Struthio camelus: one gene and its partners. The protein of the gene in region 3 purifies or fractionates together with the protein of the main gene of each other region. This does not show direct contact. Links are inferred from orthologs where the notes say so. Each region holds a gene or a part of one and is shown on either strand. Other genes may lie near its edges.

What was found. The genes of interacting proteins can lie anywhere in the genome.
Region 1: the proteins of PLK1 (region 3) and NOS1AP purify together in Homo sapiens (affinity purification with mass spectrometry; 3 studies listed by BioGRID and IntAct, counting the BioPlex papers as one, with this or other methods). This does not show direct contact. The link is inferred for Struthio camelus from reciprocal best matches to the Homo sapiens genes PLK1 and NOS1AP.
Region 2: the proteins of PLK1 (region 3) and DBR1 purify together in Homo sapiens (affinity purification with mass spectrometry; 3 studies listed by BioGRID and IntAct, with this or other methods). This does not show direct contact. The link is inferred for Struthio camelus from reciprocal best matches to the Homo sapiens genes PLK1 and DBR1.

What each region holds. Positions count from the first base shown.
Region 1 is NC_090949.1:9,628,834-9,638,381, forward strand, and holds the start of NOS1AP (carboxyl-terminal PDZ ligand of neuronal nitric oxide synthase protein), read left to right. Parts: upstream 1-5,297; 5' UTR 5,298-5,306; intron 5,307-9,548. UniProt on the Homo sapiens protein: Adapter protein involved in neuronal nitric-oxide (NO) synthesis regulation via its association with nNOS/NOS1. The complex formed with NOS1 and synapsins is necessary for specific NO and synapsin functions at a presynaptic level.
Region 2 is NC_090950.1:5,484,163-5,494,127, forward strand, and holds the start of DBR1 (lariat debranching enzyme), read right to left. Parts: upstream 4,252-9,965; 5' UTR 4,174-4,251; coding exon 3,977-4,173; intron 3,884-3,976; coding exon 3,759-3,883; intron 3,651-3,758; coding exon 3,570-3,650; intron 1,832-3,569; coding exon 1,746-1,831; intron 510-1,745; coding exon 285-509; intron 1-284. UniProt on the Homo sapiens protein: Cleaves the 2'-5' phosphodiester linkage at the branch point of excised lariat intron RNA and converts them into linear molecules that can be subsequently degraded, thereby facilitating ribonucleotide turnover.
Region 3 is NC_090956.1:1,057,237-1,067,006, reverse strand, and holds the start of PLK1 (serine/threonine-protein kinase PLK1), read left to right. Parts: upstream 1-5,665; coding exon 5,666-6,049; intron 6,050-6,257; coding exon 6,258-6,426; intron 6,427-6,539; coding exon 6,540-6,684; intron 6,685-7,112; coding exon 7,113-7,206; intron 7,207-7,764; coding exon 7,765-7,984; intron 7,985-8,296; coding exon 8,297-8,455; intron 8,456-8,676; coding exon 8,677-8,754; intron 8,755-9,240; coding exon 9,241-9,395; intron 9,396-9,770. Other genes in the region: DCTN5 (dynactin subunit 5), read left to right, coding at 2,417-2,437. UniProt on the Homo sapiens protein: Serine/threonine-protein kinase that performs several important functions throughout M phase of the cell cycle, including the regulation of centrosome maturation and spindle assembly, the removal of cohesins from chromosome arms, the inactivation of anaphase-promoting complex/cyclosome (APC/C) inhibitors, and the regulation of mitotic exit and cytokinesis.

The DNA of each region.
Region 1 (9,548 bases), on a different chromosome or scaffold from region 3:
CCTCCGTGCGGAGGGGCTCGGCTGGCGCCCGCGGCTCTGCCGGGGCTTGGAGCGGCCCGGGGAGGGCAGCGCTGCGCGGCAAGGTGCGAGAGGTCTCGCCAGCCCCCCCCCGCCGGCCGTCTTCCCCCGCTGGGGCCGGTTCGAGGCTCCGGGGGGCCGGGCCCGCGTCCCACCCCCGGCCGTGCCTTGGAGAGCCTCCAGCTCTTCCCCGTCTCCTCCGAGCTCCGGGAGGAGGCTTTGCAGCCCCGAGGTCAGGTGGGACCGTCTCATGTCGACTGTCACCTCGGTTGCTTCAGCTTTGACCAGTCACTTGAAAAGGCTCAGTGGGTGCGCGGCGGCGAGCTTCCTGCCGGGGCGAAGGCAGCGTTAGGAAGCGCCAGCCGCTCGCAGGCGCTGCCCTTTCCTGTTTGCGACCTCTCGCCCTGATGGGAAAAGACAGTTGGCAGACGTAAAAGGCGGCGGTGTGAGGGACCTTCCTAACGTGGTGTCTCAAGCACACCTTTTCCTAACCTGGACCTCCCAATTTACGCGTTCTGATGTGTTTCACAACGCGCGTTGGGTACTTTATCTCCCGTTTACGCACACGTTTCTTTAGGAGCTGCTCCACCTCTTACTGTGACGCTGGTCTTTGTAGGATTTGGCCCCAAACCCTCAGGGGTCAGAGGCACCTGACTAGCGCCAAAATCTGTGGTGTGACAAGTGTCTTAAAACCTCCCCTGTGCTTGATGCCAGCAGTCTCCGCACCCACAAAGCACACTTCAGCCTCACAAATTCAAACAGCCGGAGCTGCCTCGCCTGCCACCCGCTTAGCCTGACGAATGCTTGTGGCTGCAGAAAGGCAAATAAGGGCTATTTCTGTCCGGTCCCGGGTGAACCTCCCCGCCAGCGAGGTCTCTCAGGGCCCCATGCCTTCCCGCTCCCCCCACGCTGCCCCCAGAAGCCTTCCTGGGCGCGCTGGCGCGCAGGAGACGTGGTCCCCGGCGGCGCTGCGGGCTCTGCCCCTCCGCGCTGGGCGCCCAGTAAGCACAGCTGGCACCCAACGTGCTCTGCTCTGCAAACTGGGCTTCATAGCGAACGAGTGATGTAGTCCCAGAGGCCTTGAGCATGCCGATGAGGTAGTTTGCCCTTAATGTTAAAAATAATAGCGAGCGCAAGCCTCCTCATCCTCTGGGCTTGCGTAAGTGCATCCTATGGGGGAAAAAGATCCGTGAATTGGTCTCCTGGTTTTTCCAAACAAGGCTCCAAACCAAAACTTTTTAGACCAGCTTTCCAGGAGCAGATAATTGCAGGGGCAAGAGCCCAAACCAGCAGGGACTAGTGAGGAACCAGATAACGTTTTGGCAAAATCAAGTGCTGGCTGGGGAGAGGCTCAGGGCAATCCAGCTCTAAATAAAAGCACTTTTACTGGGTAGTGCCAGCACCTGGGGCAGGAGGTAGTGCGCCCTGCCTTCATCAGAGCATCATCAAAGCCCCTGTCAACAGGGCAAGGAAGCTGCAGCCTCCTGTGCTTTGGGCTCCGCCACCACATCCTCCTTCCGGCGCGAGCTGTGAGTGCTGCGCTAATGAAAGCAGCCTGCTTTCTTCCACAGGGCCCTGGAATGAATCTTAATGGGCTGTTTTATGATCATTTAGCCCCATCACACCGTGGTGAAGGCAGGTTTGACCTAGCTTAGCAATCTGCTGTGTTCTCCTGCCTGCTGTGACTGCTCCCTGCCCCGATACCAGGATGGAGGGGGACCCTGGCCCCACCATACCCACAGCTCCATGGGCTTCGTGGAAGGAAGTGCTATTTGCTTCCAAGTGGAAAATGTGGTCTCCCGGATGCTGGTGAGCCTGGGAAGGCTTCTGGTGGCAGTGCAGGGGGAGCGGGAAGACATGGCGCAGGATGATGGGGAATTGCCCTGAAAGGAATCTGCTGGCCATGTGCAAATGGTAGAGAAAACAACTGGATGAGACCTCAAGCAGCTTGCTGGGGTTGGGAAGCTGGGCCTGCCTGGGGCGGGCCTTGGACTAGAGTCCTCCAGAGCTGCTTTGCAGCCCAGGACTTTCTGTGGACCAGTGAAGGTACCTGACTGCTTCCTCTTCTTGCAGGTTTTGGTGCGATGCAGCTGTCTTGCAGCAGCTGTAACTGAGTCCTCCCTTGGTCTCTGGGGCTGGTCCTCTGTCCACGGGGCCCTGTGCTGTCGGTCAGCACCCCGCTGCTGAGCCTTTCCGTCGGCTCCTGGTGGGCTGTCGAGGCTGCAGCTTGTTTTGGGCGTTGCTGTATACTGGTGATGCAGGTGCAGTAGCTCGGGTTGGCCCTCCTTGCTCCCAGCACCCCGAGAGATGTAGGAACCGAGCTGTGCGAGGTCTGTGCAGCCACAGGAAACACACAACGAAGCTCAACCCAGGCTGCAGCTGCCTCGCCCCAGGCTCTGCCTGCGGGTGGGTGAAAACGGGAGATTCCTCAAACAGGCTCTGGGGACAAGCCTCTGGGTGTCGAGTCCCTCGCCCGCCCGTCAGCCTCTGGCTCTCCTCCTCCTCTCGCCGACCCGCAGCAGGCGCTCCCGCTGAGACGGCTGGCGCTGAGCCGCAGGGCTTGCTGTCGGGATACTCCCCTCCGCGTGCTTTGCTCGCCTGAGTAATGCTCTCAAGCCCGCTCCAGAGGGAAGAGTCCAGCCTCGATGCTGTGAGGTTGGGCAGTTCAGGCTTGGGTCACATCCGGACGGAGCCTCGGTCGAAGCAAATGCATGACAAATTGATTCAAAACTTGCTTCGGTTTTTGGAGAGGAAGAAGAAACAGCTGTATTGCACTTGGATAGGAAACCTGCGTCTGAGCCAGGCACTCTCCTCCGTGCTGCACCGACGCTGGGGGGACGGGGCGAGCCGCGGAGACGGGCTGTCAGCAGACATAATCTTTTCTCCATTAAACAGTAAATCTCGCCGGCCTGGAGCACGAGCCGTGCAGACAGGCGGCAGGGCGGCTTCCAGAGCCGCTCGTCCGCGATGCTCCCGGCTCTGGCGGGGCAGGTCGAGGCCCTGGGGTCTCCCAGGGCCCCCCACTGGGGAGGCCGGCGGAGACGGTCCCCGTCCTCCCAGCACTGCGGTGCCCCAGCTCTTCTTGGGGAGCAGCCGAGGGATGCCGGCTCAGCGCGCTCCGCCGGTTGCTCCCACAGCTCGTGGCCGAAAGGAGACCTTCGGGAGGAGACCAGCTCCCAGGGAATCCCCACGGGCATATTGCTGCCACCGCAGACCTGGGTCCGGGCCGTCCCCGAGGCACCTGTGCAGAGAGCAATGGGCATTGGATGGTTTCCAGCATGGTCATGCCTGGTGCGAAGGCCCCTGCTTTTTGGCAGCTTTAAACGCAGCAGTTGCTAACCCCAGAGGAAGGGGCTGTCCTTCCTTTGCCATTATTCGGAAGCTCGGGCTGAGATCAGTGAAGTTTGCAGCTCACTGAAAGTTGGTTGCTATAAACATTTCATCATTGTGACAAAAAAACAAACAAAACCACCCGTTGCACTGGCAGCTGAGTGTGGGTTAGCCCGAAAGCACTGGGCAGGGAAGCAGAAGAGGTTTTGGCAAAGGGCAAGAAACAGGAGGGGTTCCGAAACGGAACGGCTGCAGCCCCCCCGACTGTGTGGCTTTCTGCACAGCGGGATAAAGGTGCAAAGGACAGAAAGGTGGGGGGTACTCTCAGCCTGGCCAGTCCCCCAGGCAGCTGATTTATGCGGTGCATGGGTGTTTCTCCAGCCCGGGTGGGTGGGCTCTGTTTGGAAGCCGAATCCAAGCAGGAGGCAGGGAAGGCTGGTTGGGGCCATCCGGCCTGATCCTGCGCCTCCCGGTCTTGGCAGTGCCTGCTTTGGGTTAAAGTCCGCCCTGCCCGCGCCCAGGAGACGTGTCCCTCACCCGCAGCGGCCAAGGGCGACCGCTCACGCTGGAGGCCTTAAAGCAGTTTGCTGCTCTCGGCATCGCTCGTTAGGGCTGTTCTTAGCCAGAGGACGCGGAGGGGGGCGTACCCCGCGAGCGTGGCCAGCGGGAGAGGGCAGATGCTCGGGTCTGGGTTAAAGTAGGGTGGGACAACTGTGGGTCTGGTTCACGGCAGCCCCTTTGGGATGCTGGCTGCCCCACGGGAGCCTCTGCGGAGCCGCGTGCCACCACGCCTGCCCCACCAGCACCCTGGTCTGGCACCTCCTGCCGTTCCCTTGGGCATGTTTTTTTTTTTAAATTCTGCAAATAAAGCTGTGTCCCCTTTTCTGCCTGCCCTGATTTATGCTGTGGGGCCAGGCACCTGGGGTCCCACAGCAGCCCCCCCCCCCCCGGGGTTTATGCCGTGCTGTTGCATCTGTTCCCCGTCCCCTCTGGGAGATGGGGGTGAAGGGGGAGATGGAGAGGAGCTGTGCCGGGCGCCCAGGCCGCGAGCGAGCCGGGGAGGGTGCCGGCAGGGCCGGGGGAGCGTGGCACGCCGGGTGCACGGGCGCACAGGCTGCTGCTTGCCCAGGGCAGAGCATCTCCCGCTCGTTGCTGCATGCGGCTCTGGGCAGGACACACAGGAAGGAAGCGGACGGCAGATGCTCAGTCTTGGGAAGCGGGTCTGTAATTGGGTGGTACCCAGCTCACCACCACTTCTTTTTCTTTTTTAAATCTCTTATTTTTGAGGCTGATACGTGTCAAGCTCAAAGAACTCTGATATCTTGTGGGGAGAGCAGCCAGAAAGTGTCCACCCATCTCCTGACACTTGCCGCTTGGATAATTCTTGCTCAGATATCTGCCTGCTTATCTAGGCGGTGATAAGAGAGCCTGCAACTCATGTCAGGCAGGCAAGAGCTCTGCAAGCCCGCTCAGCCAGCCGGGACTTCCTGGCCCAGCTCTGCAAAGCCGTGCGGTGGGGGAAGCCCCGTCCGGACCACCAGCGGAAGCAGCTTTGCAGAGGTGACAGAGATGGAGTCAAATCTTGATCCTGATGGGTAATGAAATCCCCGGTAAATATTGATTCAGTGTCAGGGTGAGCAGCTGGGTGCAAAGAGCAATGTCAACTTGGTTATTCAAGTAAAAGGGTATAGGCGACGCTCCTGAGAGCGGGGAATTGCAAGGAGAATTTTTTTAAAAAAAAACCCTTCCCCATTCATTTGTCATATTCTAAGTGCAGACCCTGCTTCAGAGGGCCTGCAACCCCAAGGCATACACCTGCAGGAGCTGACCCTGAATTCGGCGCTGCGCCCACCCGCAGGCCTGTTGCAGACTCCTGTACTGCATGCGGAAAAACTTTGCCCTGGGGCATTTGTGGAGCGGTGCTGCTGCTGCTCTGCATATCCCAGCGGCCGGGCGGCACCAGCAAAGCTCCCGGCCGGTCAGGTCGGAGCGGAGAGCGGGAGCCGGTGGCGACCCCTCCGTGTCGGGATGCAAGCCTGGATCCTCCAAGCCTTCCCCACGGCCGGCAGGAGAGGCCCCGGCTTGGGGACGAGCCCGGTGGCACGACCGCCCTGCTACGAGCTGGTCTGTGCTTGTGGCCCCTCTCTGCCCCCGTGCTGTTTCCCGCTGGGATGTTAGCCCCGCTGCCTGCCAGGCCTTGTCTTTTCCCACTGAGATTAACCCAGCAGAGGGGCGATAGTGGATGTATCTGAAAGAGCCGGGAGGGCCTTGGGAAGGAGCTGGGAACGTTTGCAGCAGGAAACTGCAGCCTGCCTGGCAGAGGCGCGGATCTGATCGGCTCAGGGCGTGAAACGCTGCGGCCACCCAACTTCTCGCTCAGGCGAGCAGGAAAAAACAGCTGCGATGTTTGCTGGCGCAGGGAGGAGGCGAGCAGGCGCTCCCGCGGGACGAGCAGGCGGCGGGAGCGTGGGAAGAGGGGCCGCGGGAAGCGCTGATGCGTGCCCAGGCTGTGTCTCAGCTGAGCCTTCAGAGGCATAATCCTGGGGAAACAGAAAAAAAAAGAGCAAACGGGGCACTTTTCCCAGGAGGAGAGCTCACACCTCGCTCCAGGCAGGCAGGCGGCCGTGGGCTGGCCGAGGTGACATCAGGAAGCCCTGCTGCTGCTGGAGCGAGCGGCGCGGGGCGATAGCCACTATCACATACAATCTGCATGAGGCAATGGGATCCGGCCGTCACCTCTGGCCGTGGCCGGCAAACGGGCCGGCGCTGAGCCCTGCTGCTGGCAGGCGGCGGCGGGTTGCTATAGCGCGGGAGCAAACACAGCGCGCTTGGTCCCCGTGAGTCACCCCGGGCGGAAATGACCTGAGCTGACACGCCGCAAAGAAAACTGCTGCGGGCAACATCACGCGCCCACCGGCCCGGCCTTCTCCCCTCCGTTCCCAGGTTGGACAGCCCCTGGGGTGCCCTTTCCCCCCGGAAAAACCCCGTGCTTGCAAGCAGGGCTGCATCGGCGTCGGGGCGCCCGGCCGGGCTCCTCTGCATGCCGGGGCGCTCCGGAGCTGCGTGCTTTCGGAGGCGAGAGGAAACCACCGCCTTCCCGTCGGCTTCTCGGACCTTGGGAAAAACGGCTCGTGCTGTCACCAGAGCGGATAAGCTGGGCCTCGCGGGCAGCAGGCTGGGGCCGCGCGCCCGCTCGGCTGCCTGCTGGCACCCTGCGCGCTGGCCGGGGAGGAGGAGGAGGAGGAGGAGGAGGAGGAGGAGGAGGAGAGCCGTGCGGGCGACGGAGCGGCGACGTGCAGCGGCAGCGCAGGGACGCGCGGCCCCGGGGAGGAGGCCCAGACAGAGGAATGCGCGTGGGGACAGGGATGGCTTTGGGAAGGGTTTATTGAGTGGTCAAGCAAACAGAGGAAATTGGCCCCAGCTGAAGGGCCTCCTGCCTGGGGGCTGCTGCAGCGGAGACGGGGGACTAGGCAAGCGATGCGTCATGGACGGACCAGACGGGGCCTGATACCGGCGCGGTGCACAAAGCCGACGCGGGAAGCCAAAGACAGCAAAGGAAAATGTGACTCCAACAAGGCTCTGGGCCGCAGAGGAGCCCTTCAAAGCAGGTTGGGACCCAGAGGGGGAGTGCCCAGGGCAGGAACCACATGCAGATGCCGAACCCGTTAGGAAGGACAGCGAAGCGGTGGGCAGATATTGCTGAGCTAGAGCTGGATCAACTCTCCCCGGGATGAGAAAATACTTTCCAGGCCATTAGGAGCTAAGGAGGATGTGAGACAACAGCTGCTAGAGAAGATATTTAACCCCCCCCCCCCCCCCCCCCGTAAGCCTGGCTAGCTGAGACCCAGGAGCCCTTTCAGGGCTGTCTGGAGCAGAATCGGCAGGTCTGGGGGAGCGCTAACGCCACGCCGATAGGCGAGCGGGGAAGCGCTGCCAGGCCAAGGGCTGGGAGGGCCTGGGAGGCAGCAACCCAGGGGGCAAGAGTGCACACGCGGTGCATGTTAGCGAGCGGGGTTTTGTGGGGCGTCCGGTTGGACAAAAGCGGTTTCTCTCCTCGTTGCGAGCAACGGTTTGGCTGACAGAGGCAATTCCGTGGCTGGGAGGAATTTGACGTGTTGTTCATGGTGTTCAGACGTTAAAAAAAGAAGAAGGCGGGGGGGGGGGAAGCAGCATTATGCTGGATCCATGTTAAATAATGGGTTCTGAAGGGGGGGAACCGGCCATGAAACCGTCGGGACCCCACGGGAAGAAAATCCGCGGGACCGCAGCCGGCGTGCAGCGGTTTTGGCCTCTCGGCGCGCCGCCTGGCTCGGCTCGGGGGACTTGCCGAGAGGGGCCAGAAGTGGGATCTCCGGCCTGAGGCAGGAGCGCGGGAAGGGCTCGGTAACGGAAAGCTCAGCGAAGGTAAGGAGCCGGGGAGAAAGGTGGCTCCTTCCAGCCTCCGCTCTGCTCCCCGAGAGGGAAAGGCTGCACCCGGGCCCGGCTCCGCGCCGCTTGGGATTGCCCGTGTGCCAACCAGGAAACAGGCTTACATTTTTCTCCTGACACTCAAGGGCCTGGGAAACTCAGCAAATCGCTACTGACGTGACGCGAAGCTTCGCAGTGCGCTGGGAAAGCTGGTTTGTGCGTTGCAAACCTGGATTCAAAGGCATCCGGGGCCGCACCAAATTAGTAACTCAGTCCCCAAGATCACAGACAGCCGCGCTCTTCTGGATTTAAAAAACAAAACCAAACAAAAAAAAAAACCCAAAAAACCCCCAAACCCACCTCCGTGGTGGAACAAGCCCATGTGAGGCGCGAGGCTGGCTGGCCTCCTGCGCCGGCTGCTCGGCGCGGCGCCGCGGCCCGCTGCCTGGGCTGAGCCCCTCCGGGCCGGGGCTGGGGGGACGGCGGCGTTATCGCCCGTGTTCGGCAGGAGCAGTGGGGCACGGCGATCCGGGGGGCAGAGGCGCCGCCAGGCTGGCGCTGAGCCCGCGCTGGGTGGTACTGGTCCTGCTGGCCCTGCGCTGGGCCATACTGGGCTGCGCTGGGCTGCACTGGGCCATACTGGGCTGCACTGGGCCAGCCTGCGCTGGGTTGTGCTGGGCCATACTGGGCTGCACTGGGCTGCACTGAGCTGTACTGGGCCATACTGGCTGCACTGGGCTGCACTGAGCTGCACTGGGCCATACTGGGCCATACTGGGCTGCATTGGGCTGCACTGGACCATACTGGGCTGTGCTGGGCTGCATTGAGCTGTACTGGGCCATACTGGCTGCACTGGGCCATACTGGGCTGCACTGGGTTGCACTGAGCTGCACTGGGCCATACTGGGCCATATTGGGCTGCACTGGACCATACTGGGCTGCACTGGGCTGCACTGAGCTGCACTGGGCCGTACTGGGCCATACTGGGCTGCACTGGGCTGCACTGGGCCATACTGTGCTGTGCTGGGTTGCACTGAGCTGTACTGGGCTGCATTGGGCCATACTGTGCTGGGCTGCACTGGGCTGTACCAGCTGCACTGGGCTGCACTGGACCATACTGTGCTGTGCTGGGCTGCACTGAGCTGTACTGGGCCATACTGGCTGCACTGGACCATACTGGGCTGCACTGGGCCCTACTGAGCTGCACTGGGCCATACTGGGCCATACTGGGCTGCACTGGGCTGCACTGGACCATACTGGGCTGTGCTGGGCCTCACTGGGCTGCACTGGGCCCTACTGTGCTGCACTGGACCATACTGGGCTGTGCTGGGTTGCACTGAGCTGTACTGGGCTGCATTGGGGCCATACTGTGCTGTGCTGGGCTGCACTGGGCTGCACTGGGCTGTACCAGCTGCACTGGGCTGCACTGGGCCATACTGGGCTGTGCTGGGTTGCACTGAGCTGTACTGGGCTGCATTGGGGACATACTGTGCTGTGCTGGGCTGCACTGGGCTGCACTGGGCCATACTGGGCTGCACTGGCCGTGCTGGGCTATGCTGGCCACACTACGCCACACTGGGCTGTACTAGGCTATGCTGGCAGCACTGGTCTGTACTGGGAGCAGTACTGGGCTGTACTGGGAGTGGTACTGGGAGGTACTGGGGGCTGTACTGGGAGCGGTACTGGGCTGTACTGGGAGAGGTACTGGGGGCTGTACTGGGGGCTGCACTGGGCGGTACTGGGAGCGGTACTGGGCTGCACTGGGCGGTACTGGGAGCGGTACTGGGCTGCACT
Region 2 (9,965 bases), on a different chromosome or scaffold from region 3:
GTACCTTTGCTATAAATTTAAAAATCAAGAAGTTTCAAGTTCAGCAGTTAGCCATTTCGTGCTGTCTCTGAAGATTAGGTAGTCACCCCACTGATTTAACACATCTGTTCTACTTACATAAGGTAGTAGTCTTAAGACTACTTAATGTCTTGGGGCTTACCTCAGCTGAGTTTTAATAACTGAGTGAAAACATTAAGAACAGTTACTTTTCTGGACATGACTACCTGCACTAGAATTCTTAAATGCACTTGGGATACATACTTTCTTGACTTTTTTCTCCTTACCTGGTGTTGCATGAAAGCTGCAAATTTCACATGAAGATGTGCTGAAAACCAATAGGTGGGTTTCAGATGCTGCAGAAGCTCTGAAGCAGCAGGGCTTCCTAGCGTGTTGCTCTCCACTTCTTGACGGAAGAAGGATTTCATTTTAAGAAGCTGTTTCTTGTTCCCATAGTGATATATGCTCCTTGGCCAATCATGTGACATAAATATATCCATTGGACGTTTTAACTATCAAGCCAAAAATGCATATAAGTAAAACACATATTTAGAACAAGTTTCAAATTTACACAGCACAAAATACCACTTGTGTAACAGCAGGTGTTCTATCTCAGATCAGATAGCTAACTGTGACTTACAGCCTCACTTTTTAAAGCAATGAAGTTACACCAGTAAGCACAATCTTCCAGGTGGCCTTTGAAGTTATCAAAGGACTCCAGTCCCCACAGTCTGCGCTACACTTTCTCAAGACAGCAAGCTGTGCTTTATATATACTGCCTTATAAGAGATACCAGAACATCTCTATACGTGTCAGACACTCAGAATAAACGCTTGAAATTACAGCTGTGGAGAAAGTTCTTGCCACACCAAAGTCGTCATCTTCCCCACAAAATTTAAGAGCTTTGTTTAAAAGGGATAATGGCTGTGTGTGATACTCCTCCTCAAAGGAAGCACCAGTCTCAATGAAACAAGTACATCTTGGTTCAATATTCAGCATATTTTCATCAGTTGTATCAGACCACACCTCTAGCAGAAACCTGAGTCCAGCTAGTATGAAACTCACAGAAAAACGCATCATATCCTTCACAGGAAGAGCAAACCTTTATCCTTGCATCTACTGAACAGGTAAGTGCACAACTGCAACCTGAAGAATCATTCACAAGATGCTTATAAAAGCATGCATTCACACCACAATCTCGGACAAACAGTGTGATCCCTTGTGACAAAGCAGGGAGTAGTCCATGGCTCAATAGTAAAGTTAATCTGGCCTTTGGGCTGCTAGCCCTGGGTCAAAAATGCTTTAACCACAGGAATTTGGCATCAGCTCACTCTACTGGTTCAACTTCTGCATATTTTGACTAGTTAACTTTGTACCAACCAGGCTTTAAGTTAGACAAGGTAGCACCCATCTTCCTACACCTAACATAAACCTAGAACAAATGCATGTAGCTGAAGCACCTCCCACACTGTGAGATTTGTTTTTTAATAGGTTAAAACAACAAAAAAAACGCACACATGCCGCCTGTGCCCGATTCGAATCAGATTTGTACTGCTAAGCAAAACAGTGGAGCAGACACGTAGCAGGAACAACTGCAGAATCACAGCCAGCATAAATGGGTCTGTCAACATTATATAATGTTGCAGAAGAGTCTCAGCTATATAATAGTATACTGTTCAGAATAGCTTTAATATCTATTTCTCAATTAATGAAAATCATTTTTTACTTTTGTTAAAATTTTCACTAACCTGCTTGAGTTTGAAGACTTCAATATTCCTCACGTGGTAAGCACTTCTTATTGTTTGCTGGTTGTAAGGTGGACACTCAAAGTGGCCTGAAACATAGAAGAAAGAATACTTGCCTGCATCAACAATTGCCTCCTAACACTGTTTGCAAGCTAACCTCTTGGGGTCATACAGACATCTAGAGCAACGTCAAACACAAGGCTCCTAGTCACTGAAGGAGATGCTGCATTTCCTCTACAGAAGGCTTACACCAACAGTCTGCTAACTCCTTTCATGCACGCAGCAAGTATATTCTAAAAATGTGTCCACAACAATGTACACTTCTTCCAGTCGCTCTCTTACTTTTCCAAATGTAGAGAATACAGTAATCTTGTTTCCACAACTGGAAGCTAGGAGTTTGACTCCAACGCTTAAAACTCAGGAACTGTCTGAAACAAGTAACTTCAGTAGAAAGACTCGAGTGCTTTATTCCTGAATGAGGCTTTGTACCACTCAGGTGAGATAACACCTCCCATTACTTCACCACAGCCCTTACCTTCACAGTTACGCCAGCATAGCCACATGCCATCGCGTATGTGGAGAGCTGTTCACTGCATAGCCACGCGACATAGATAGCTATTACTTGAGCCAGTTCCCATGGCCACACATCCCATGATACTGGCACAGCCAAAGAACATATGATGAACAAGAAAAAGACTGGCATTACCTTAGAGAAGGGACAGTGCACCTCTCTATAGGAGGGGTCAATAGGCAGAACATAGGTCACAAGAGTTTATTGAAAAGAGGTGTAAGCTAAAAAGGTCATGAGGCACTGCATCAGATCTGACTCCCAGACTCAGGCCACTGATGCTATGATTTCATGTGTTTCTTCAAGAACCAACTATGAAAGCACAGCTTGCCAGATTCAGCAGCAGCTTAGAGTGTCACGTCTGGTACTGTCCCAGGTACCGCAGACTCTGGAAAGGCAAAAATGTTCCCTTACCAAGGGGAATCTAGTCTACAAGAAAAATAAGTATCCGGCAGAGCTCCAACATAGTCTGAAGGATGAACAGCAGGATTACATTTTTAGTAGCTAGCACTATTACGAAAGAGCCTAATATCCCATGAGCAATATTCAGGTAAGCAAGCTGTCTGCTCGACAATGACATTTAATTAGCATTAATATATTAAACAGAATCATCAACTGTCTCAGAAGAGTAGTTTATTACTTTGCAGCATGAAAGCCACCTGCAAAGCTTCTCTGAAGCAGTATCTTATGAAAGACAGCATTCACAGTACAGTAATTACAAATAAGAAACCGTTATCCCATGTGTCAAGGGGATCAGAAAGACTAATCATCTTCTACCATTTGCTGACAGCACCTAACATTTGTGATCGGATCTCTGACCACCCAGGGAGACCCTTCAAGGGAGGGCTCTTGAATGCACATACACATATCTGGAGGAAACAATCTGACACTAAGCCTCAGCTCAGGACAGCACATTTGTATGATATCCCACTTATAAATTGCCTGTTTTACACAAGAAAAACCAAGAAGTCTTACATTAGATGCTAAAAGGGCCCTGCCAAGGAAGAATCAAGACTGTCCCAACCATAACACTCAAAGGGAGCGTTTGCTTCCTAACATGGTCAGCAGGCAGCTACCATAGTACCGCCCACCTCCAGAAAGCCACAGAAATCCACATGTAAAGCCAAGGGAGGCTTCCAGTGTCAGAAGTCAGTTCCCAAGTTATGAGGGGGGTGAGCCAGAGCCTCCTGCCGCGGCTGGGAGCTGCTTCTGTGGCCGCTCGTGCGCCGGGCCACTCCACCACGGCCTCCCCACTGTACCTTTCCGGTAGTCGTGAGACTTGAAGATGCCCGAGATGCCGCCGATCCTCACACCGCGGAACCGCACCACACCTGCGTAACCTAGGGGAGACGGGAGGGTAGCTCGTCACGACGGGGGCCAGCCGGGGCCCGGGCCAGGGGCAGGGGCGCCCGCGGCCAGCACGGCAGGAGCAGGCAGCCGAGCCCTACCGAGGTAGTAGATGTTGGGCGCCACCCACCCGCCGTACGGCAGCTCCTGCAGGTGGTTGGACGCCTCATGGTTGCCGCCGATGAAGATGGTGAGCACCGGGGCCTTCCTCTCGCCGGAGTAGTACCTGCGGGGAGAGGACACCGCTGGAGCGGGCGGGCCGGGCCAGGTGCAGCGGGGCGGGGCCGGGCCGGGCCGGGCCGGGCGCGGCGGCACTCACCGGTGGAAGGTCTGCATGTGGCGGTACTTGGCGGGCACGGCCATGCAGCGCAGGTCCGCCTCGTTGCGCACGGCCTGGAAGTCGCCGCAGCAGAGCAGCAGGTCGGGTCGCACGTTGTGCCGCCGCTGCAGCAGCTCCAACGTCTCGTACATCTTGTCCAGGGCGCCATGGCAGCAGCCAGCCACCGCCACCTTCATGGCGGCCGCTCCACCGTGCGCAGGCGCCGCGCGCGCCTTCCGCGTCACCGCGCGCCCGCCCGCCCTGCGGCGCCGAGCCCGCGCAGGCGCGCTGCGGGCCGCGGGGGCGGGGCGCGCGCGCCAGCGGGGCGGGCGGCGGCCCGGGGCTGCGCGGTGCGGCGGGGCGGCTGCGGGCGGCGGCGCGGGCTTCGCGCGCCGGCTGCCCGTGGGCCTGGGCACAGCTCGCGCGTGCAGTCACAGCCGCACATCCCGGCTGCGCCGAGCGCCTGAGGGGACGAGCCGCAGCGCTGAAAGCGACCGTGCTGCTAGCGGGGCACGCCGTTGCAGCGGGGATGTCTCGTGCCGTACGCGGTGGTCCTCCAGGGAGGGAAACCTTCGAGAGGGCAATGAATAAGCGAGGAAAAACTGAGAAATGCAACTGCAAGCATGCGTCCCGATAACTGGGTGTAACGTTGGGCCCTTTGGTAAAGGGATTATCTTTTCACCCAGTGTTTGTACAGCAGCTAGCACACTGGTCCCCAATAAAAAAAGGCCTATCTCCAAATAGGCAGTAGAGTTCTATGAAGTTTTGATGTCTTGTGCAGCGGGGCCCAGCAGAGGGTATGTAAACTGCGTAAGGGGATTCTACGCGCTCCCTGTACACCGCAGAGACCGTTAAGGTGCGTGTCTCCGTGGGCACAGCCAGAGCTAGTGCAGTACTGGCTTTGCCTCTTCCGCAAGCTTCGCGGCCTCAGCCAGGAAGCTGCAGAAGCTTTACTTGTTTCTCATTGTGTGGCACAAAGACTGCAAACTAAGCCACAGTGGAGCAGTTGTAGTACAGAAAGAGTAGTAGCTGTGCATGCTTTTGTATGATACTCATGCCAATAAAAGAGTGGCTATGGGTTTGCAAAGGACACATCAGCCCTACAGTAATACTTTTGTCCCACCAGTTCAGCGTCAAACAAGCATATTTTTAGCATATTCAAGCATTTGTTTCTCATACCTTCCTAAAAAGCAAGGACAGAAACAGACCGTGGCTTTTCCAGTACAACGGCATATGGGACATGGGGAAACCGGACCTCTGTCCTTTAACTTACAGAATGTCAGACGCCCTGCTTTGCAAAGCACCAATTTCCTCATTTTGAAGGGCTGCAAATTGGATCATAGGGTGGTATTTGCGTGTCATGTAATAAAACCACTCCAGACTTTTTCCACTGTTTTTTTTTAAGAGTCTTGAGGGATGGAACAAAATTACAACAACATAGTTAAACATTAACTTGCTACTACTTACCCTGTAATCATGAACTAAGCAGACATTCCCGTTCCCCTACAGTAGCAAGTATTACATAACGGCTTCTCTTTTGATACTAAGAAAATATGAGTATTCTGTAACGTATTTCATAATTTCACCATGTTGGATTACTGTGTATTTCTTGGGGCTTTCATCCAAGACCAGCTGAAGTCAAGGGAAAAGTTCCCCTGCCTTTAGATCCCCACAGGTCTTCAGAGTAGAAATGCACACAGAAGTATTCTTAGAAATAGTCAGCTCTTCCACTAACTTTGCTGAGACATACCTGAGCATACTGTGAGAATTCAGTTTGCCAAATCATCTCTTGGGAAGGTCTTCTACCGTCTGTGGGAAAGTGTAGCTGTCCCTGGCATCTGCCTTGCCTCAGACTTCCTGGAGGGGTGGGGATGGAAAACAGAGGCCCATGAGTCTCTAGAAGATCCCATCCTACCTTCTGGCCATCTTCGGTGGCTTTCCAAGACTGCCAGCAGCTGCCTCCTTGCTCTGCTTCTTCCAGCTGGCCAGGACTTCACTTTTTCCTTCCTGAGACAGCCGTACTGCTCCCCCCCCCAGCCAGCTTTGTCCCCAGAGTCAGGTAAGGTATGCTTGTACTGTAATTGTAAATCCTGGGCTTGTTTCGCACACCCCATGTGCCACTTATCCCTACTGGTGCACAGGTGAGGCTGTATGTTTTCTTTATGTTGTAGCATTTTAATATTTGTACGCTATTCATTATGTGTCTTCATATCCCTAATTTAACTGTGGGTGTTCACTGAGCTCTGAAAATCTGCTCTGAACTTTCCACAGCAGTCAGATCGCTAAGCCCCCGTGGAGGCAGCTGTGGTCTGTGATATGACCGACGTGCAGCTGTCTTCCAGCGCGTGACTAACGCACGTTTGGTCATTAATTGGGCTCTGTGGTCCCCAGTCCCTTGCTCTGATGTGCTTGTGCACGTCTGTGCATGTGACTGGATGCGCAGTCCTACAACAGGGGACCTGCACTTCTCTGAAGTGATTGAACGCACATCCTGTCCTTCGTGACAGGGGAAACAATCGTGAGGCCATGAAGGGAGGGAGAGTCTCAAGAAACAGGCTTGGATCAGTGGATTGTTCTGGTGGGAGGTATTTGGCCTTTTGGCTGTTGCCTGCCCAGTCCAATCAGTAAGGTTTTTTTCCTGATCTGACTGCGATAATGTATAGCCGTGGAAGTAGTTCAGTTTTTCTCTCCAGGGGAATGAAGAATGAAAGGCATCCTGGCTGAGGACGACTGGGTTGCTTCCCTCACCTCTGAAAATGGAATGAGAGAAGCTTTTGGTGACTTTTCCTGCCAAGTGCTTCCTGGCTCCCAAGGAGATGCTAAAATGAGGAGGAGCAGCAGAAGAGAGCCAGTGGGAAACATCTGTAGCTAACTTTTGGGGAGAGATGGAGTAGCTGAGAAGAGAGGTATAAGGGAGAAGTGGTGGAAAGTTTGTGAAGGAGGTGTGTTTGTAAGTGAGGTGTGAAGGACAAATCAAATGCGTCCAGCTGAGAGCTTGAATCACAAGACTCACCTGCAACTCGATGTTTTTGTGCCTCTGGGCACCTTCTCCCTCAGTTTCACGTCTGATAATTGCAGCACAAAAAAACAACCTGCAATGCAACAAAACATGCTCTGTCAATGTAAGGCCCGCTCCAGGCCTAGCTACAGTGGTCTGGCAGCCGCCTTCCCCCTCCCATTGCACTTTGGCTGTCCTCCCTCTCACTTTTTACCTTTTCCTGGAGGCGCCCATCACGCTGTTTTGCTGGAGGACGCTAACGGCCTTAACGCCCAAGAGGGCTGCAAACCTGCCAAAGCCAACAAGCGAGGCAACCTACCCGCCGAACTTCACGAGCGGCTGAGGAAAAACAAAAACCACCCTTCCCCCCCTCCAGAGACGCCGTGCGGTGAACCACAACCCCGCCGAGCCCGGCTGCAGCCCAGAACACGGTCAAGGACCCGCCAGCATTGCTTGTCCCCAGGACGCCTCGGGGCTGAAGCCGGACCTGGCCGGCCGCCGCCTCACGCCGCGGTCGCCTCAGAGCCGAGGGGGCGCGGCCGTTAGGGCGGGGCGCGGCCGTTGGGGCGGGGCGCGGCCGTTGGGGCGGGGCGCGGCGGCCGGCGCGGGTGGGGGGCGGGGCGGGCACGCGCGGCGGGCGCGCGCGGGGTCCTTCCCCCCCCCCCTTCCCCTCACACCTCCCACCCTTCCCCACACCGCGGGCAGCGCCATCGCGGCGGCCGTGGCCTCCCGCTCCGCTCCGAGCCGGGCCTCGAGCTGAGCGCCGCCGCCGCCGCGCTCGGCGGGGCGGGGCGCGGTGCGGCGCGGCGCGGAAGGGGCCGGCCGGCCGGCCGGGGCGGGCGGCAGTGCGCGGCCGGCGGCGGGAGCGGCGGCGGCGGCATGGCACGACGGGGCGCTGCCCCCGCGGGTAGGTGTGGCGCTACCCCGCGGCGGCGCTCGGGGCCGTTTTGGGGAGGGGGGGAGGCCCGCGGGGGCAGGTGCCGGGCGGGCGGCGGCGGCGCTGACAGGGCCCCGCGGCGGCGGCGGCTCCGGAGCGGCGGTTGCGGCACGGCCCTGCCTCCCCCTCCCCGCCGCCCGCCTTTGAGCTGTGAGGAGAGACCCGGGGGCCGCTGCGGGAGCGTGTGACGGGCCGGGGGGCGGTCGCAGCCTCGGAGGGCGGCGGTCTCGGGGGTCGGGGTGGCCCTGCTCCGTTGGCTGCCGTGAAACGGGAGGCTTGACGCTGGGCAAGGCTCACCCCGCGCTTGTCTCGCGTTCGTTATCCTTTCGGTGAACGCCAACCCCGGGCCCCGGGGGGAGCCGGAAACCTTTGGCCTTGCTCCATGCAGCTGCTCCTACCTTGTCGCGAAGGTAGGATACTTCTTTAGGAAGTGTTTCCTAGGTAGCCAGGGAACGTAAATTCCCAAGCAAGAGAGGGAACAGCTTTGGCTAGGCGATCTCCTTGTTTCGCTGGCAGGCAAACCCAAGATTAAGGTGGGCGTAAGCTTGTAAAACCGAGGTTGAATAGCTGATGGAATAACTTACTGAAGGACGTGTTTTACTGGAGCAAGTCCCTCTGAAGGTCATCACAGACTGTACTGGTATCGAGTAATGTAAATATTTTTTAGGCCCAGGACTAATTTTGCTACCTCTGTTCTTCGTACTGAAGGAGGAAGCCCTGGAAGAGGTGCTGTTTTATGCCACCGTCTTTCCTGTAACAGCAGGCTAGTGGAGCAAAGGGAAGATCTAAAGAGACGAGGCAGGTAGTCCCCAAGCTGTCTGCTGCTGAGGTGCTGCCTTTGGTGGTGGTCTCATGGCTTTGCCTTGTACGATCTGATGCCTGCTTCAGGAAATAAGTTTTCCAGTCATTTATGTAAAATAGCCTCCTCCTCTCTTGGCCATTCCCTGTGATTCTCTCAAACGTGGTAGGTCTGTTCTCACAGTTTAGGTAGAGAGAAAGAAAAGTTATTGGAGAGCTTTGAGGAGTTTGTCAGTACTGTTAGACTTCTCTCAGTTTTGTAAAAAACTTTTGGTGCCTGCTGGATTCTGAGGAGCTGCATCGAGAGACACTGTATTTGTTCTTTTTTTTTTTTTTTTAAATGTACCTGAATACAAGCTATTAACATTGCATGTAAGTTCAGATAATCTACGTTTCACGTTGCCATCAGGGAGCTTTAGCTTTATGATTTTATACCGAGAGTCTGTTTCCATTGCCTAGACCTCTGTAACCGCTGTCATGCGTGATACTATGTTGTACTTGTCGTTTGTACAAAGGTGCAGCATTAAAGGTAGCTATGGCTAGGGTGCCTTGAGTGCAAGTTGACTGACGCATGACCAATAAATACGTGAGAGCTTCTCTGGTAAAGCATCTGTTTCATCTCCCTCTGCTACAGCCTGCGGAGGAGCGGGTGATGAGTAGTGTTGCTCAGACAGTTCAGAGGTCTGTGTAGTGGAGCCCTGTGGTCTAACACTGTCGGTAGCCCCAGCGGTGTAAATAGATGCTGCGCAGTGCAATTTGTTTTTTCTCCAAAGTTATGTAAGGACCGTTCCCCATCCTTCCCGCAGTTGCCCTCTTTCTCCTCTTCCCTCTCCCCTGCAAATTGCACAGAACCGATAACTCGGCATCTATGATATCTTGGCACAGTACAGAGGTTGCTGTGCAGTCTTAATTCACTTCCTTGTGTACAAAGTTTTACAACACTGTCTTTACTTTAATTATTGTATGCTGCTCTTCCCCCATGAGGCTGGGTTTTCTCCTGTTACACAGGATTGAACTTTTTTTCTGGAATAAGAGCTTAGAACTGTGCTTCAGTTCTGTCAGAATTTGGCCAGTGAAGTGGGACTGTGGGAGTGAAGGAATCTTCTCATTCATAATTAAGGCAGTTAAGTCCGGTCTTACAGAAACAGGTTCCTGTGTGTTGCTAGGCAAGCCTCTTCCACCAGACTTTCCACTGTTGTATTTTCACGACTGCTTAGGTCCCCTCGATCAGATTTGCAGAATTTCTGACTAACAAC
Region 3 (9,770 bases):
GCTTTCCTTCAGAAAAATATGTATTCATCTATGGGCCGGTGTGTTGAGGTGGATGACCTCTTCCTTTTTTCCCTGTGGACCGAGATTCTCTCCTATAGGAATGAGGTATCTTATCATCCTGTGATTGGTTTTAGCACTTTTGGCTGACAGATTGAAACCTATCTTACTCTGACTTGCCTGATAGGACACTTAGCTTTTAGCTCTTGAAGTAGGCACCAGTTGTGTGCTCTCACACCTCATGCAGGGTTAGGATTTTCATGTCTGATGCATGTTCTTTTTCCAGAACATCACAGACCTCAAAGAGCCAAAGGGCTTTGGAAAGAGGATTACCATTTCACTCTCAAAATTCAGTGCAGCAGAAGGTGGGGAATTAAAAGCCAAAACTGGAGGTGGGCGGGAGAATCCTGCGGTTGTCCCCATTTGTCACCCACTGTGTATATTTGCAGAAAGCTCTTCAGTGCTTTTTTTGCATTATAAAACTTAAGAATGGAGATTCAGACCTCTTGGAAAGAGTGAATGTTTCATTTTGCACATGTAATACAGCTGCAGTTATTCTTGTTGGGAGCAGCTGTGTGAAAGTTGAACACAGCTGATACTTTATGTACTTAGTACCAGACAAATGGCCAACAATGAATCTGCCTGCTCTGGTTTTGTTATATTAAAGCTTAGCATCAGCCCTTTGTAGTTTTTAAAACTGGGGCTCGCTCCTGCATGTTGTAGTGTACCAGCTAGGGGCCAGAATGCCTATTAGGTAGGTAGTAGGTATGCGACTGTGAGACGTGGCAGCCCTCATGCATTCAGCTCTTCTGTATAATGCAGAGTACTGATATACATTAATTAGCAGACAGCTATAAAAACACTAAAGTAACTACTGTTAATCAAATGTAAAACCAGTGTCTGGTTTGTTTGTATGTTTCCTGTACATAAATTAAAAGCCTCTTAAGTTATTCAAGTGACTCAAGGTTGTGACTTTTCAAATCAAACTGTTGAAAGTAGGGTGAGGTTTCTGTTGTGCTTGTGCACATGTATCACAGTCTCTTGTTCTGTGAATATTACCGGCATGTAGTGTCAGCGTGTTAAAAATTGAAGTACAGTGTGAAACAGCTTCTACTTTTCTGCTTCTGAGCTGATGACTTTTACCAACAAATGAAGCGATTCCAACATGGCTATTGTGTAGAGGCTCTGAAATACAGAATCTCTTTGCTGCTATTCTTGATACTGAAGTGAGAATCCTAAAGCCACCAGGGTGACTGTAAAATCCTCTCCGGCACTGAAACTTTACACACACCTATTCTGTACAGCAGCAGCTCCAATGATGTTGCTTCAAGCACTTGGAAATGGCCTGCTTTTTGGATCTAGCAGTCTCAGATGGTGTAACCCTTTGCGTCTGTGCAAAAAAGCAGGAGCTGGAGCCAGCTTCTCATGACCGCAAACACGGTTGCAGCAAGAAGATGCAATTCTGTGTTGAGGCTGTAACAACTAGGTTGCTACTCTTGAATTCTCCAATGGACCAATTAGGTCACGTCTGTTTCGAGAGAGGCAAAATGTTTTGCTAGAAGCCCAGCTTCAGTAGGATTGTTTTGTTGCCTAGTTCCATACAAGCTTGAAATAGCTGTTTAATGGCAGCTGTATTTGTGAAGCCCTCCTGAAGTGGGAGTGGAGACAAATGCAGAAGGGAACTGTGTGCTTTCTGTGATCTTGTGGAGGTTCAGAGGGTGACTTATATGTGAAAGGGCCAGGCTTGCTACTTTTTCTACCTGGGTGAAAAGTATGAAGCTGTAAGCGCTGCTGACACTTGTACTACAGGCAGCTTCCTAATTGACTTCAATTGCTAATATGACTAGCTCCTCCTGTCAAAAATCTTGACTGACCCTTGTAGAAGCCATTTGCTGTAAGGAGCAGTAGGAGGCTGCCTCAGTCACCACGCCTCACAGGCTTGGAGATTCTTGCAAGATTGTATGCATGTCAGATGTTTAGGCGTTTATACTGCCACTCATTCGTACTACTTTGCACTGTTAACTTGCTATCAGCTGTCTCTTGAAGTGTGTGAAGTAGCACTGTATTTGGTCAGGAAGGGCCTATATGTGCTGTGTTGCCATGGTGTCACTTCAAAGTTTTAACACTACATAGTACATTTCACTGGGATCGCTTGATTAACGACCACAGTTGGGCAGCATGAAGCTAGGCTGCTGGAGGAGGGGTGGAGGGAGGGCTGCTGAGTTAAGGGATATGCGTTTGAGAGAGGAAATGGGACTGCATCTGGAAAGGTCTCAGGAATGATGTACTTCCATCATCACTTGAACAGCACAGCTGTAGTGCAGTGAGGGATATGTAACTGTATAGCCACTTACACGTTTCTCAGCCTTGTCTTCCTTCTAGCAGGCTGATTAAAACCTGTTTTATTGTCTCTGTTAAGGTGGCCTCTGCCAGGGTCTAAAAACAAGTCACCACTGAAGATCTCAAATACTCAGCAATGTTAACATTCCTTAGATTTGGTCACTTTACCCTCCTGTCCTCTGAAGCATCACTCTGACCTGGGCTCATCTCTACACCTCTGCCAGCTCTCTGGAATGATGGAGTATCAGTAGGTTGCAGCATGCTTCTACAGCCCCTGGGAATTGTAGTTTTCTGATGTCAACATTCAGTTTAGTGAAGTGCAATGAAACGTGACTTCCAAGAGAGGGCTTTGCTGCACAGCCAAAGAGGAGCTGTAGGTGCGTGGGGAAGCATGATGCTCAAAGGGATGGGGAGGGCAATGTGAATGCCTTCTTTCAAGAATCTTTTGGCAAAAAGCAATCACTTCAAACAGTAAACCACTATGTTGCTTCATCAGTCCTGTATACTCCCCTTTGCTCTGACCAAGACTGGAGGGACATGCTATTTGTGTTGGTCACTCTTATGTGGGGCATTTAAAGTCCTCAGGAATGTAAAACTGGGGCTTCAGAACGCTTCTCTTTTACTCTGTGTCCACCGTCATCTGCTGGTGGTTGTAATACCTGCCTGCTACTAGAATCAGGGGTAACTGTACTCACTGTAACTGGCTGAGTGAGACCAGCCAGTGCAGCAAACACAATCTGTTTGGAATTTGGCTGGAACGTGCTCTGAGCCCACTCACCCTCCCCATTGCTGCACAGCATTGCTCCCACAGCCAAACTTCTGCCAACCTGCGGGACCACAAAACACCCGAGAGCCAGACCTTCCCACTGCATACTTACACTTACATGATGCTTTGAGTCAGTGCTCGGGGGGGAGATCCAGCTGCTCCTTTGTGTCCTCATCCTGGCTTCAGCGTATGACCATGCATGCCTGGAGGGAGAGAGCAGGCTCATGGCCTAAGGTGCTACAGCTGACCTGTTCTTGTGCCGTTCTTGGTTATTGTTCATTGGTGTTTTGTTCTGAGCCAGCAGGCAGCAAAATCAGATTAAGGGGTGAGTACATACACTAAAGTTATTTTTCTTAACAGATGGTGTTCTTAGATTACAGGAACAAGCTCTCCAGGCCCTAGTGCACATGTGGTCCATTGCTGCTATTTTCTTTCCTAAATAGTATCCCATGTGGTGACTGGGACGAGGAAGGTGAAAAAGTCATTAACAAGGTCAGGCACAATTTCACTCAGCTGTCAGAATCTCACCCCCACGGGACAGAGAGGGAAGGGAGAGGTGCCACAAGAGAAACTGAAAATGACAGCAGGAATATGTGAGACCACAGAATAAAAAATCAGCAGGATGACCAGGTTCTTGGAGAAATGCGGCCATATATGAACAAGCAATGTCTTGGCTTGGAGGAGTCTCAAAAATGTGCACGGAACGGAGCTGTCTAATTGCCATTTCTCTTTCACAGAAAAAACTAAGTACAAACTGTAACATGAATTTCCCTTCCAAAAAAATGCTTAAACTAAGTCTGCTAGAAGGACTTGACTGAAAAGCTGCTTACAGCCCACAGGACGGGGGGAAAAGGATTCAAACTAACGTCACCTTTGGCTGTTTCTCGTAAAAGTAACCCCCTCCAAATGCACTTAACAAAATACACTTGCATTCCTTACTGGGAGGACAGTTCTGCAACTGGTATCGTCTGTGTATTTGTGTCTATAATTTCTGTTTGACTTCCCAAATCCACAAATGATGGTATTGATTCAAACAACTATAGACGTGCATAACACTGCCTTGAGGAATTCTGAGTATTTCAATATTGTCCAATGCTGCCCCAGTCTTTGTGAGCTGGTTCTCAATTATATGTCATCCCCTTAGAACCTGCATGCTTGTACTTGTCCCCCTGTGCTTTCTTGAGCCCTTCTTGTACACACAAATAATAAACAGGTAAAAAAGAACTCTGCTGAAGGGTTGACTGCAGTGTCCTATCAATGCTATATCGGTGCTGTGCTGCCAGGAGGGTTTTGTGTGAGTTCAGGCTAATGAGAGCTTTTATCACACAGAAAAGCAATCAACATCTGAGTGGCAGTATTAAGCACTGTAAAAAAGTAAATGAAGTTTCCACGCTGTTGTGGGAGACGTTTAGACAACGGAAAGCTTCCATCTATAACTCAAAGATGGTTTCAGCCTCTGCTAAGGTGGATGGCAAACTGCCCTGTCTGGTTGACCTCAACAAGTCTGTTAGAGAGCTCTGCCAACAACTTGCCCTCTTTTCCCAGTTTTTCAGCTCAAAATGGGAGGTACCTCCACTCCCAGGGCGGACGGGGAGGCTGCGGCGCAGGCACCACGTCCCCTGCTCCGGTCTCGGCGCTGGTCCAGCGTCACGGCTGCCTGCCGGCCCTCGGCGTCCTGTGGGGAAGGGTGTCCGTGTGCCGGGGGGACGCGGGCCCTTGGGGAGCGCCTGATGTGACAACGCTGAACACACCAGGCGTCCGGAGCCCAGCGGCCTCCCCTGCCAGCACCGCTGGGGGCCAGCTCCGGAGCAGGGTCCCCGAGCAAACGGGAAGACAGCCGCCTCTCCCGCTCCATATTTCGGTGCTCCTCGCGCTGCTGCCCACGCGGTGACTGCGGTCTCGAGGGCGGCGGACGCTGCTGGGGCTGAATGCAGCGGTGCCGGGCTGCCCGTGGGGCCACCAACCCGGCGCTCCCCATCCCCGAGGTGGGGGAAGCCCCACCACCCCACAGCCCCACGTTGGCGTGTCGCCCCAGGGGGCCGAGCACATGCACCTTTGCGTCCTCGAAGGACGCCAGAAACCACGTGAGCTGCTCCAGACGGGGCAGGCGAGCCGAGTCCCACTAGGCGGCTCCCCCCAGCCGGCCCGGCCCAGGCTGCGCCGCGGTCACGCGTGGGACAGCGCCGCGCTGCGCCCCGCCCGGCCGCCAGGCGGCGCCCGCGCCCCCCGGGCCGCGCCGTGCCTGTCTCTTTAAACGCGGCGGGCGGGGGCGCGCTCCCATGGTGCGTCGCGGCGGGCGCTTGGATTTTAAATCCTCTCGACCAATGGGGAGCGCCCTGGCGCGCGTAACGCTCCGGCTCCGCGTTTGAAATTGTTACAGTGTTGCCGCGGCGGCCACAGCGCTCTGCGCCCGCCCGCACCGCACCGCAGGCTCTGCGCCCGCCCGCACCGACCCTCGCCGCAGCGGCTCCGCGCCCGCCCGCCCGCACCGGGGTTACCGCGCCGGCTCCGCGCCCCTCCGCTGCCCCTCGGCCCCGACCCCGGTCGCGCCCTCGCGGTCCGATGAGCGCGGCGGGCGGCAAGGCGGCGCGGCCGCCGGGGGCGGCGGAGCCGGGGCGGGCGGGCGGCGCGGCGGCGGCGGCGGGCGGCAAGGAGGTGCCGAAGGTGCTGGTGGACCCGCGGACCCGGCGCAGCTACGTGCGCGGGCGGTTCCTGGGCAAGGGCGGCTTCGCGCGCTGCTACGAGCTGGCCGAGGCCGAGAGCCGCGAGGTGTTCGCCGGCAAGGTGGTGCCCAAGTCGCTGCTGGTGAAGCCGCACCAGAAGGAGAAGATGTCCATGGAGATCGCCATCCACCGCAGCCTGGCGCACCGCCACGTCGTCGGCTTCCAGGGCTTCTTCGAGGACGCCGACTTCGTCTACGTGGTGCTGGAGCTCTGCCGCCGCCGGGTGAGGGGCTGGGAGGGCTCCGGGCCGGGCAGGGGGGTCTGAGGGGGGATCGTGCCCTGGGGCCGAGCAGGGGGGTCCGGGGGCTCTGGGGAATCGGGGCAGGGGGAGTCTGGGGGGGATCGTGTCCTGGAGCCAGGTGGAGGGGAGCTCTGGGGGGGCCGGGGAATCAGGGCAGCCCGGGGGCCGGCACACTGACGGCCTCCCGCAGTCGCTGCTGGAGCTGCACAAGCGGCGGAAGGCGCTGAGCGAGCCCGAGGTGCGCTACTACCTGCGCCAGACCATCCTGGGCTGCCAGTACCTCCACAGCCACCGCGTCATCCACCGCGACCTCAAGCTGGGCAACCTCTTCCTCAGCGATGAGATGGAGGTGAAGATTGGTAGGTGCCTGTGACGCAAGTGTCCCCTGCCACAGCAGGGACCCCGACCTCAGGGGGTCCCTGACAGTGTGGGGGCCTCTGGCTTATGTGCTCATCTTCCTCATGTCTCAAAGGTGACTTTGGCCTGGCCACCAAAGTGGAGTATGATGGAGAGCGCAAGAAGACCCTGTGTGGGACCCCCAACTACATTGCCCCAGAGGTGCTGGGCAAGAAGGGGCACAGCTTTGAGGTGGACATCTGGTCCATTGGCTGCATCATGTGAGTCAAAGCACCCCCCATGACTGGGCTGTCCTGTGCTCCAGGTCTCCTGGCGGTTTTGGTATAAGCTGAAGCTTTGGGCATGCTGTCTCCAGAGCACCCACCCTGGCTGAGCACTGCTGTTAGACCTGCTCGGCTAATATGCTCACATGGGGGCTGTCTTGAGGTATTTTTCCCAAAAGCCCTTATTCCTAACCAGAACTTTCTCCAGGGGTACAAAATCCCAACTCCCCCCCTCTGGGAGAAGGAGCTAGAAATAATACTTCTGCCTGCTGTACCAGCTCTTCCTGGCAGAGGGAACAAGGAAGTCATTGGGAAGTCACAGGAGGCACTTCAGGATGGGGCTGCTTCTGGACCAGGGGTGTTGTAGTCCCCCTGCAGGCTGCCTCATACAAAACTGACACACTTCTATGTCCTTAAACACACAGGTATACCCTGCTGGTAGGGAAACCACCTTTTGAAACCTCTTGTCTAAAGGAAACTTATATCCGAATTAAGAAGAATGAATATACCATCCCCAAGGTATGGCACTTCCTGTGGGTGGACTCAACCTTGCAGCAGGTTTTGGTTGCCTTCTGCAGCATTCTGCTTCTGACACTTAATGAGCTCTTGCAGAATGGTGAAACAGCTCTCCTTGCTGAGTGCTATGAAGGGGATATTTCAGTCTGTGGTAGAACAGACCTGTGGGGTCAGCTTCCTACTGAGGAGCCAGCAGCTCCTCCTTGACATATCAAAAATCTGAGCTGGGCAGCTGGCACATGGAGGAAAAGGCCATGGGGTAAACTAACTTGCTCAAGTCCAGCCACAGATGAGGTCTGGACCAGGTCCCCCTGCTCTATTCCACTGTTGGTTCAGTCTTGCTAGTCAGTTGACTTAAAGCTCTGAACTCTGCCAGGAGATTGTACAGGTGCTGGTGAGCTGTTCTGTTTCCCCAGGCTGGCGTCCTGTGTGCCTGCTGCAGCACAGGAGCTCTGCTTTGAGAAGAGCTGTCCCCATGTTGCACACCCTGTGCACGTTGCTCCTTTTGCACACTTTTCCTTGACTTTTCTTGTTTCTAACTCTGCCTCTGTTTTCTCCTAGCACATCAACCCTGTAGCTGCTAACCTCATCCAGAAGATGCTGAGGTCTGACCCTGCCACACGCCCAACTATCGATGAGTTGCTGAATGATGAATTTTTCACATCAGGATACATCCCTAACCGCTTGCCCACCAGTTGTCTCACCGTCGCACCTAGGTTTTCAATTGCTCCCAGTGGGCTTGAACTGAATGGGCGAAAGCCATTGACTGCACTCAACAAAGGTGAGCGCAAGCACCTGGGAGCCGAGGGCTGTGCGCTGCAGTGCTGGTTGAAAGCCTACCTGGCCTCTGGCAATATCCAGACCTTTGGTGGGGAATGTGATACTGCCTCACATCTTCATGACTCTCATGAAAAGCTGGAGTACACTGTGAATGGGAGGTCTCCTCCCTGCTTTGAGTCTGGGCTGTGTCAGCACTAGCTTTAGCTATATGGTGTGTAACATGTTTCTTACAGCTAGGGTTGAATGTAAAGCTGGTGCCTTTAGAAACCTACTTCCTGGTAATGCCTCCACACTCTTCTCTTTCTTGGCCCAGGACCAGACAGCCCTGCACTAGAGAGCTTGCCTGAAAAAGATGATGTAGCTGGGCTGCGGGAGCTGGGAGATGCTGTTGACTGTCACTTAGTGGACATGTTACAGCAGTTGACTGCAGTCAACTCAGCCAAGCCATCTGAGAGAGTGGCTGTGAGACAAGGTGAGCCTGGGGACAAACCCACAAGCACTGGCCTTCCTAGGTAACTTGCTTTTTTGTCATTCTACTGCTGTTCAAAGTGAGGGGCCAACTGATCTCCTTGGCTTCAAACTGGAAGGCAGAGAAGTGATGCAGTAGCTACTTGCCTGCCTTTTGGCCTTACTTGCTTACTGCCATGTGCAGGATGCCTTAAAACGTCTTCTAATAAACTGTTCTCTTGGCAGAAGAGGCTGAAGACCCAGCCTGCATTCCTATCTTCTGGGTTAGCAAATGGGTGGACTACTCAGATAAATATGGTCTAGGTAAGTAATAAAGGGACAGCACTTCAGCCTTTTCCAGTTTCTGAAGAAGCTGAGGGAAGTTGTGATTCAGGCATTGCATGTGTGAGATTCTTTAATCTGGCAGTCAAACATGTAGGTGTCTAAAACCACCAAGAACGTTATTGAATATGCAGTGAATCCAGAGCAGTGGTCACTGAACATCAGCTCATGCCACTACAGGCAGAAAACAGCTACATGCTTAAAGGGAATGTGGCCTCACTCTGCAGTGAGCAAATGGTACCCAGTACTATAGTTACTAAAACTTCCTTCTGTGGCAGGTGATGTGACAAGGGAGGGTGATAAATCCGGAGGAGGAAAAGTGCCACCCAGACCTCTGCAAAGCAGAGGAGCCCTAGATTTGGTGGGGTGTCTGTCAGCAATCCCTTACCTGACACAATTCTACCTTGTGTTTTGCGCAATCAGCAATCCTGTGTATTTGAAGGTCTAACAGACTCCCTTTTGGACTAGGTTATCAGCTGTGCGACAACAGTGTTGGAGTTCTCTTCAATGACTCCACTCGTCTCATTATGTACAATGACGGGGACAGCTTGCAGTACATTGAGCAAAACAGCACAGAGTCCTACTTCACTGTGAGATCCTATCCCTCTGCCTTGAACAAGAAGGTCAGTTCTGGGGTGGGTTCCAGGGGGAAGATCCATCTCTTGGGGCCACTTTCATCCTGCAGGCTTCCTCTTGGCTGGTATAACGTGGCCCAAAGGAGAGACACTAGCAACTCTTGCTGTTTCCAGTTGCTAGCTGAGGCTCACTTATGAGGAGCTTCAAAGAAATACGCACCCAAAGCATGGTATGCATGGTAAATGGTATGCATGTACCAGAGTGCTAAGCAGAGCGAGTCTCAAGCATTGCCAACTAGGTTAACTTTGCTGTCTGAGTATGGGAACTTGCACAAGTTCCTACAGTGACCCTTCAAGTCCTGAAAGACAGCAGGCAGCTGTGGGACTGAAAAGCAGGCCCTGCCCCCCACCATGTAGCATGGG